Oryctolagus cuniculus: one gene and its partner. The protein of the gene in region 2 purifies or fractionates together with the protein of the main gene of each other region. This does not show direct contact. Links are inferred from orthologs where the notes say so. Each region holds a gene or a part of one and is shown on either strand. Other genes may lie near its edges.

The links.
Region 1: the proteins of protein argonaute-4 (region 2) and TNRC6A purify together in Homo sapiens (co-immunoprecipitation; 4 studies listed by BioGRID and IntAct, with this or other methods). This does not show direct contact. The link is inferred for Oryctolagus cuniculus from reciprocal best matches to the Homo sapiens genes AGO4 and TNRC6A.

What each region holds. Positions count from the first base shown.
Region 1 is NC_091450.1:14,640,588-14,644,392, forward strand, and holds part of TNRC6A (trinucleotide repeat-containing gene 6A protein), read right to left. Parts: intron 3,262-3,805; coding exon 3,191-3,261; intron 2,430-3,190; coding exon 2,290-2,429; intron 1,986-2,289; coding exon 1,610-1,985; 3' UTR 1-1,609.
Region 2 is NC_091438.1:136,830,423-136,834,935, reverse strand, and holds the start of protein argonaute-4, read left to right. Parts: upstream 1-1,441; 5' UTR 1,442-1,676; coding exon 1,677-1,695; intron 1,696-4,513.

The DNA of each region.
Region 1 (3,805 bases), on a different chromosome or scaffold from region 2:
ATAATTCAAACACAACCAAACTGTACATTTTACAATCACATTCTATTTGTAAACAGTTAAAAGCCACTGACTTCTTTTGCATCTTAGGACACAAACAGTTAGAATCAAGGCAATGAAATGATGGCAAATTCTGTACTGTTAAAATTTTTACCCTTGTTTAGTCTCTCTTCTTTGACTAAGCAAGCATTATAATACCATTTGTGGGCAAAAAAAGGGGGGGGGGAGAAATTTAAAAATGGTGTAACTCGTTAGTTTGCAACAACATTTAAAATTTTCTTTATACAACAAACAACTCTGTAAGCCCAATACCTTGGTTACAGTATGCATAGTTACGGATTTCGGCTTTAAGGGACAACAGTTAAACATGAACACAGTCACGAGAGAGCAGAAACAGAGAGCCACTTGATGGGATTACAAAAATGATTACCTACTGATTATTAGCAAACCATCATCACTCACTAATAAAAAGACAGCATCTGAAAGCAGAATGTCAAACTCCAGCTTTAAGCATTTTTTTTTCCTGTTTTTTGTTTTTTTGGCAGAGAAAATTCTTTAACAGAGCAATACGTAGTATCAGTGCTAAAAGTTGGGGTTTTTCTTTTTTTTCCTATAAGAAACTACAAGGATTTTTTTTTTTGTTTTTTGTTTTTTTTAAACTGGGGAACTGGTTTTCCTGAGAACCATGCTCTTTGATTTAGGACAAGAATAGAAAACAAAAGAACATGGCCAAATGCTGCTCCTTTTTCCCAGAGATAGAAAGCATCTTTTAAATCATCCTCCATTTTTTTTTTGTCTTTTAAATTTTTTTTAAATGATGGAGAGTAAACATTTTTCTTCTCAAAAACAAACAAAAAAATCTGTAAACAAGAAGGTTCACCGTGGGAACCTTCAAAACAAAATGGAAAGCCTATTCAAAGTGCAGGGCCCGTCCTGGGTGGCAGGTGGGCTGCAAGTCACAGCTGTGGCCACAGTTTTTCAAACTGCAGAGCGAAATTCTTTAGTTTTACAACATGAAAAAACTGGTGCAACACTTTCATTAATAATCCTAAGTCAGTATCATAACTTGATCTTTTAAACTCCACGATACCACAACAAGGTAGGCAACATCAAGGCATAGTAGAGAGCGCACACCTTGGAAGAGCATCCTTGAGTAAACACTTACACTGGAACAGCTGCCCCCCCACGTTGCCGATTAGACGGAGAGAACATCCTTCAGTGCAAAGGTAAAAGCTCATACATTATCAGCCCAAAAAATGGTTTTGCAAAAGAAAAAAAGAAAACAAAAAAAAAGAGAAAGAAGGGGAGGGGTAGAAAAAAGAAAGACTCCGAAGGCTAAACATGATGAATACACACGAGTGAGCTCGTTCGATACGGCTTAGCATGTATGGCGCTATTTGGGAGTGTAGATAGATAGATACCTTTTCACATTATAATATTGGCCTGCATGATTCAAGTATTCAAACTGATATGTTTTGGGGAAAACAAAGTGGAAAATGTGCAGAGAATAGCTGTTCCCACAGGTGGCCCCTGGCTGCAGGCGGCGAGCCCAACTTAGTGCTCCTTTCTTTCGCGTCTTGAGGTCACAGTTTGTGAGTCTACGTCTACACCGTTACATGGACTCTCCACCCCCACCCAGGTGGTCAACAGAAAGAAAAGCATTAATGGGGGATGGGCTGCTAATTCCCCGGGGGTCGCTGCTGCTGGGAGGACCCCACAGGCTTGTGGAATAATGGGGGGTCCCCCAGAGTGAAGTGCCGTGAAGGTCTCCACAGTTAGTTCCCGACAGCCCAGCACCATTCCAGTGATTGAGATCGGTCCGGCTGGAGAACGAGTGGGAACAGTCGAGGGAGCCCAGCCGGCTCTGGCTGGACCCGAGAGACTGCCAGCCAGGAGAAGGGGTCAGAGACTGACTTTGTGCAAAGAAACGACTGATCTCCTCTTCACTGGCAAACTCAGCAAGAATAGTAGTGTTCCCCAGTACACACCTGCGGAGAGAGCACAGCGGGCACGTGAGGACGCTCCCCAAGGGCTTCCCGATTCCCAAACAAGGGCGCAGCCTGGCCGCGGGACAACAGCTCCGCACCGTGCAGAGGGAGCGCGCGGGTGGCTTGGCCCGGCCGTTCCCAGAGTAACCTCCTCCAGGCCAGCGTGGTGCCGAGAGCCTGCTGCGCTCTCCTGGGAGCGAAGCCACGGCGCCCAGGGCTGACTGGCAGTGTGCTGCAGCGGGGGCACGGGCGCCGGGCCCCCCCCGCCCCCAGCTTCGCCGCCGCAGGGGCACGGCCTACTCACATGTGCAGAGACTTTTGTGCCTTCACTACCTCTTCTTTTGAACTGTAACGGACCAGCGCGTTTCCATGTGGGAGGTTCAGGTGGAATGTGATGAGCGGGCCATGCTGCATGCACAGGGTGCGCAGAGTTGAGCCATCGATCTAGGAGAGAGCGGGACGCCGGGCGGGCGGAGAAGGCGCCGTGAGGGCCAGCAGGAAAGCGGTCCCGGGTTCGGCGCTGCTCCTGGCACTGCGCTTCCGTGGCCCTCGCTGGGCTGGGAGACGGCGCCCCCTCCTCACCTTCCTCCCAGAGCAGCACCTTTGGGGCCTTGAGGCCCCCGGACACCCCCAGGACCCCAGTTCTGTAGCCCCTGCCCCTGCTGCGGCTTCGTATTTTCTCTTCCCTGACGCGAGGACGGGGCCCATCAAGGCACTGCTCCTGGGGTGGGAAGCGAGCTGGGTTCATAATATCCAGCCGCCAGGGGCTAAGAAAATGCTCTAAGCTCAAAGAGCAGACAGGAGGGGAGGGTACTTGGGGCCCTGCCACCCTCACGGGAGACCCAGAGGAGTCCTGAGCGCCTGCCTTGGGCCTGGCTCAGCCCTGGCTGTTGTGGGCATTTGAGGAGCGAACCAGAGGATGGAAGATTCTCATTCTCTCTCTGCCTTTCAAATAAAGAGAATAAAACATCGATAACAATAATTATAATAAAGAGCAGACCAGGCTTTCTTAAGGCGTAGCAGGAGCCACGTGCATCTGTCCATCTAAATGCCCTCATGAAATGCTGGTGCCCAGACCCCAGCCCGCTGGGCGAGACCCAGGAATCCGGGTTTCGGGCTGGCCTCCGTGCCCACTGGCCGTGGCCAGCCCTGACTACCACCCAGGAGCCCTCAGCTCACACAGACCAAGGCCCTGGCGCCCTTACCTGAGGTGTAAGGTTTTTTAGAACAAGCCAATTTGTTATTCTCCCTGAGCTGCTCTCACCCCAGCTGGAACCTGAACAAGGGGAAAGAAAAGAAAAGAAACAAAACCGAGTCGGTTTCCCAAGGCTGTGGGCGGTGGCACGGGCAGAGCACAGCGGCTCTGACGGACACTCGGAGGACCACCCGCTCCCTGGCTTCCTTCCCTACGTCCCCTTGCCTCCAGCTCATCACGGGGGCGGGCAGCAGTGAGCCACACCAGACCAGGGACCTTTGGGCCTTCTCATGTCCAGGTCTCAGGGGACTGTGCATGTCTATCCCTCAGGGTATGGAGCTTGAGGGGACGTGAGAGCACACGGCCACCCAGACAGCCCAGGTCTGGGGTACACATTCCCCACCTGGCTCCGTGCGCCCACTCCGCCCGGCAGCACAGCTCGCTCCTGACCGCCCCCCCTTCAGTGCCTCACGAATACTTCCGGATGGCCTCAGACGCGGCCGCACCCAGCCCCTGCTTGGTCACCACTGAGCCTTGCCCTGCCCCTTCCTTGAACACCTCCCAGGGAACTGGAGCCGTCAGGCCTGAGCTTTGGCACCGGCTGTCCCCTCTGACAAGTTCCTGC
Region 2 (4,513 bases):
CCAAGGACTTCCACTACTTTTCCAGGGCATAACAGAGAGCTGGATCAGAAGTGGAGCAGCCGGGACTTGAACCAGTGCCCATATGGGATGCTGGCATCACAGCCAACGGCTTTACCTGCTACTCCACAGCACCACCCCCCAAATATTTATTTATTTATTTGAGAGGCAGAGTTACAGAGAGAGAGAGAAGATGTCTTTCATCTGCTGGTTCACTCCCCAAATTGCTGCATTGGTTGGAGCTGGGCCGATCCGAAGCCAGGAGCCAGGAGCTTCTTCCAAGTCTCCCATGCAGGTGCAGGGGCCCAAGCACTTGGGCTATCTTCTACTGCTTTCCCAGGCCATCAACAGGGAGCTGGATTGGAAGTGGAGCAGTTGGGACTTGAACCAGTGCCCATAAGGGATACCACCACCACAGGGTGAGGATTAACCTACTAAGCCACATGCCGACCCCAAACTCATGCATCTTTGATAATGACTTTATTTAGAAATAGGGTCTTGAAGGGGTAGCTTTGTTACAATGAAGTTATCAGGGTAGGCCTTAATCCAAATGTGGACAGGACAGTACAGAGGGAAGACCATGTGAAGACACAGGGAGAAGATAGCCTCCTACAAGTGAAAGGAGAGCAGTCCCAAAAGAAACCAACCATGCCAACACTTCGGTCTCATACTTCAGGGCTGTCGTTAAAGTCAGGCAGATGGGAAACTTGGTTATGGCAGCCCATGGGTGGACAGCGCCCTCCCTCACTCTGTTGCCTGGAAAGTGCTTCCCCACCCTGTGCTCCCTGTGCTCCGACTCAGAGTCCCCAGTGACACCTGGAGGCGCCTAGGCCTGCTGGGCTGACTCTGGGGCCCTTGGCACTTGGGTGCTGAGGTAGGGGCATCCCAGTAGGTAAGCTCTTTCTGCTAGGAAAGAACTTGTAAGGCAACGGGGTGTGCAGGGATGGGTGAAGGAAAACAGGGCTGCGGTGCCTTTCGTGTTCTCTGCCCCAGGAAGAGACAGAGGAGAAAGAAGCCACCTGGGGACCCGCGGGAGGAGAGGCGCCTACGCGAATCTCAAGACACTTTCCACGGACAGAAAGGGATACCCGCGCGTGTGAAACAACAGAGCTGGCATTCAGCTCTTGGGCTGGTCGCAGCGTGTCCGGACGCCCTCAGGGGAGCGCTTGTAGCCCTCCCACAGCCACCTGCCCGGAGGTGGTAGCCCTGGCCAGGGAGGGCAGAGCGGGCCGGCGCGCGCGTGCCCGGCACGTCCTGCGGGCGCTGCCCCTCCAGGCGCGCTCCCGTCCCCGCCGTACTCCACCCCCTGCCCCCGGCAGGGCTCGGTGGACCCCGCGACTGGGGCCGCGCACGCCCCTCCGGCCGCCAGGACCCCGGGTCGCGCGCGCCCCGCGTCCCCTCCCCGCCTGGACCGGCGTGCGCGGGCTCAGGCTCCCGCTCCCGCTGGCGGCGGCGGCAGCGGCGGCGGGGATTGTTTTTGTTGTCGCTGAGGCCGGAAGAGCCGCAGGAGCCCGGTCTCTGTCCCCCGGCCGAGCGCCGCCGCCGCCCCCTGCCCAGCGCCCGCGTCTCCGCGGCGCTTCCCCAGCGCCAGTATTCCCGAGATCAAGCGTTACGCGGCGGCGGCGGGGCCCGGAGCGGGAGGCGCCGGGGACCGGGGCGAGGCGGCCCCCTCCGCCGCCATGGAGGCGCTGGGACCCGGTGAGGAGAGCGCTCGGGCCGGGTTGGGGCCGGACCCGGGGCCAGGGGCGGGCGGGCGGGTCTGCAGCTGCCCTGTCGCCCGCCGGCGGGCACACCCGGGCTCAGGCTCCAGGCCTCCGGGAAGGGGATCGGTGCCCCGCGACGCACGGAGCGCGGCGGAGGGAGCGGACCCGGGCCGCAGGGGGCGGGGACCGCGCCCCAGCCGGGAGACGCAGGCTGGAGCTGGTGCGGAGGCCTAGGAAGGTGTCTCCAGGTGCAGGGGCCACCTGACACAACCCCATCAGGGGAATCTGTGCCCCAGGGTCGCGGCGAGACTACTTTGGTCCTCATAGGGGACATCTATGTCCGGTGCGCACGAAGGCCTGGTCCTGGCTGGGCAGGTCCCCCGCCTGCTCCCTTGGGTATTCTGGGTTCGGGGCCGCACCCCTGTTTTTCTTTGCGATCCAGAGCCCTCAGTGGGGGAAGAACCTCCCTGAGACGCCGCTCTTGACCCCTGAAGGCCCAGGAGCAAACATGCTTTTCCGGAAGGCGCTGAAGTCTCACGGAACCTGCTGCCATGCCTCTGTCTGTCAGCCAGTGTGTCTGTCGCAGAGTAGTCGAGGCTAGCCCTTGAGTGGCAGGGCAGCCACCAGCCAGCTGGCTCCGGAGCAGGCTTATGTGTCTCGAGGACTCTTCTAATGGGGCTGTGAGTGGTTGCGAGGATGCAATGAAGGAGAAAGTGCTTTGGAAACGATCTCTCTGTGGCTGTGCAGGCTTCTTGTTGCCTCCCTCACTCTGCCCAAACCCAAGGAACCCTCCAGGTGGTCACAGATACCCTCTTAGTGGGGGCCTGGGTCTCCCACCTGGTCTCTGATGCCTTGGCTCAGTGGAGTCGGGTTGAGGGGATGTGGTGGAATTAACTTTAATTTGCAAGCCTTGCTTTAATTGTAGAGGATTTCATTTTTCTTAGTGCTTAGAGAAATCAGTTTGCCATTTGTGTTCGGGAACTTTTCAGAGTTGTTGACTTAGGATTTGTTTGCATAACTGAGCACACTCCACCTTGATTTGCTGTTTCTGCTGTTTTTAAAAGGACCTCCTCAAATTTTATATGCCTTTGAAAAATAAATTGGTGTCACATGAAGATTATTTGATAAACCTCATTGTAATGTGCTAGGTTACTTAATATCTGTTCTGCCGCTAAAGACACGATCTAGACTTTAGGAATATAACAGACTTCTGTTCAAATGCAATCTAGTAATTTTTTTAACTTTTATTTAATGAATATAAATTTCCAAAGTACAGCTTATGGATTTCAATGGCTTCCCCCCCCGGAAATCTAGTAATTTAATCATTGTATGACCGTAGGCAAGTTACTTAATTCCTTTGAACTTTCATTTCCTCATCTATAAAATGAGGCTAATAATAATTAGGTGCTGCAAGATTGTTGTGAGAATGAAATGAGATAATGTATGTGAGAAATCTGATTGTAGAGGTTAAGACTTATAGATGCTCAAGAAATATTTCCTCCCCTCCCATGAATAACTCATAATCAAGGCAGCTGTTGCATTTATGAGTTGATGTGCAAAGAAACTATGCAACTGTGTGCACATGCTGAATTCCAAGGAATGGATCCACCTGTGGTGTTAGGAATTGGCCAGGGACTAGTTTTTGGTTTGATTTTTAGCTTTTGCAGGTTTGAGGACTTCTCAGTTTACCCAGGATTGTTCAAATTGTGGTTACGAAAGGCACTTATGAGTAAGCCGAAATGTCACATAGATCATTTCTATTGACTGGAATATTTTCCTGTCTGCTGTGTAGCAAACTCCTTTTATTGGTGTTGTAGTGCCTTGGAAACCCAAAGAGTAAAAGAAGCTGCTTCCTGAGCAGTAGAAATCAGAACAAACAGGGTTGATAGCCTTGGATATTTATTTTTTTAACAGATATGCATTTTTCCGTGAACTTTTAGGAATATTATTTATTTTCTTTATTTAAAGGGTGTGTGTGGGGAGATAACTTTTATCTTCTGATTCACTCCCTAAATGCCTGTGACAGCTAGGGCCAGGCCAGACTGAAGTCAGAAGCCTGGAACTCAATCAGGGTTTCCCACGTAGTGGTAAAAATGGAAGTACATGGACCATCTCCTCTGCTTCCCAGGGTGTGGGTTAGCAGGGAGCTGGATCAGAAGTGGAGCTAGGACTCAAACCTAGGGATTCCACTATGGGATGTGAGTATCCCAAGCAACGACTTAAGCACCGTACCAAAGTCTTGCCCCATTCTTTGATATTTCATCCAGGCTGTTTCAGGACTAGAAAAGCAACTCTGCTTCCCTCAACACACACCTTCACCTGGTGCTTTGTGACCTCCTCACCTGAACAGCCACTGAAGCTTTCTCAGTCTTCTCTGCAAGCCCTCCCACACCCTCGCCACCACCACACACACCCCTTTGTTTCAGTTTCTGACAGTCTCTCCAAGACAGAATTAATTAGATTACCGCTTTTTTTTTGTTACATTGACTATATCTTTTATTATTGCTGTGCTTTATAGTTTGGAAAATGCCTTTGTAACTAGAAGGTAAGTGAGGCAGGTGTTTGTCCCCATTTTACAGATAAGAAGAGTGAGATGCCACCAGTATAAAAAGGGGCAGGCCTTGTGGCACAGTGGGTTAAGCCATCACTTGGGTTGCCCACATCCCATATCAGAGTGCCTGGTTCAAGACTCTGTTACTGTACTTCCTGATACAGCTTCCTGCTAATGCACACCCTGGGAGGTAGCAGATGCTGGCTCAAGTACTCGGGTCCCTGCCACCCACGTGGGAGACCCGGATGTGGTTACAGCTTCC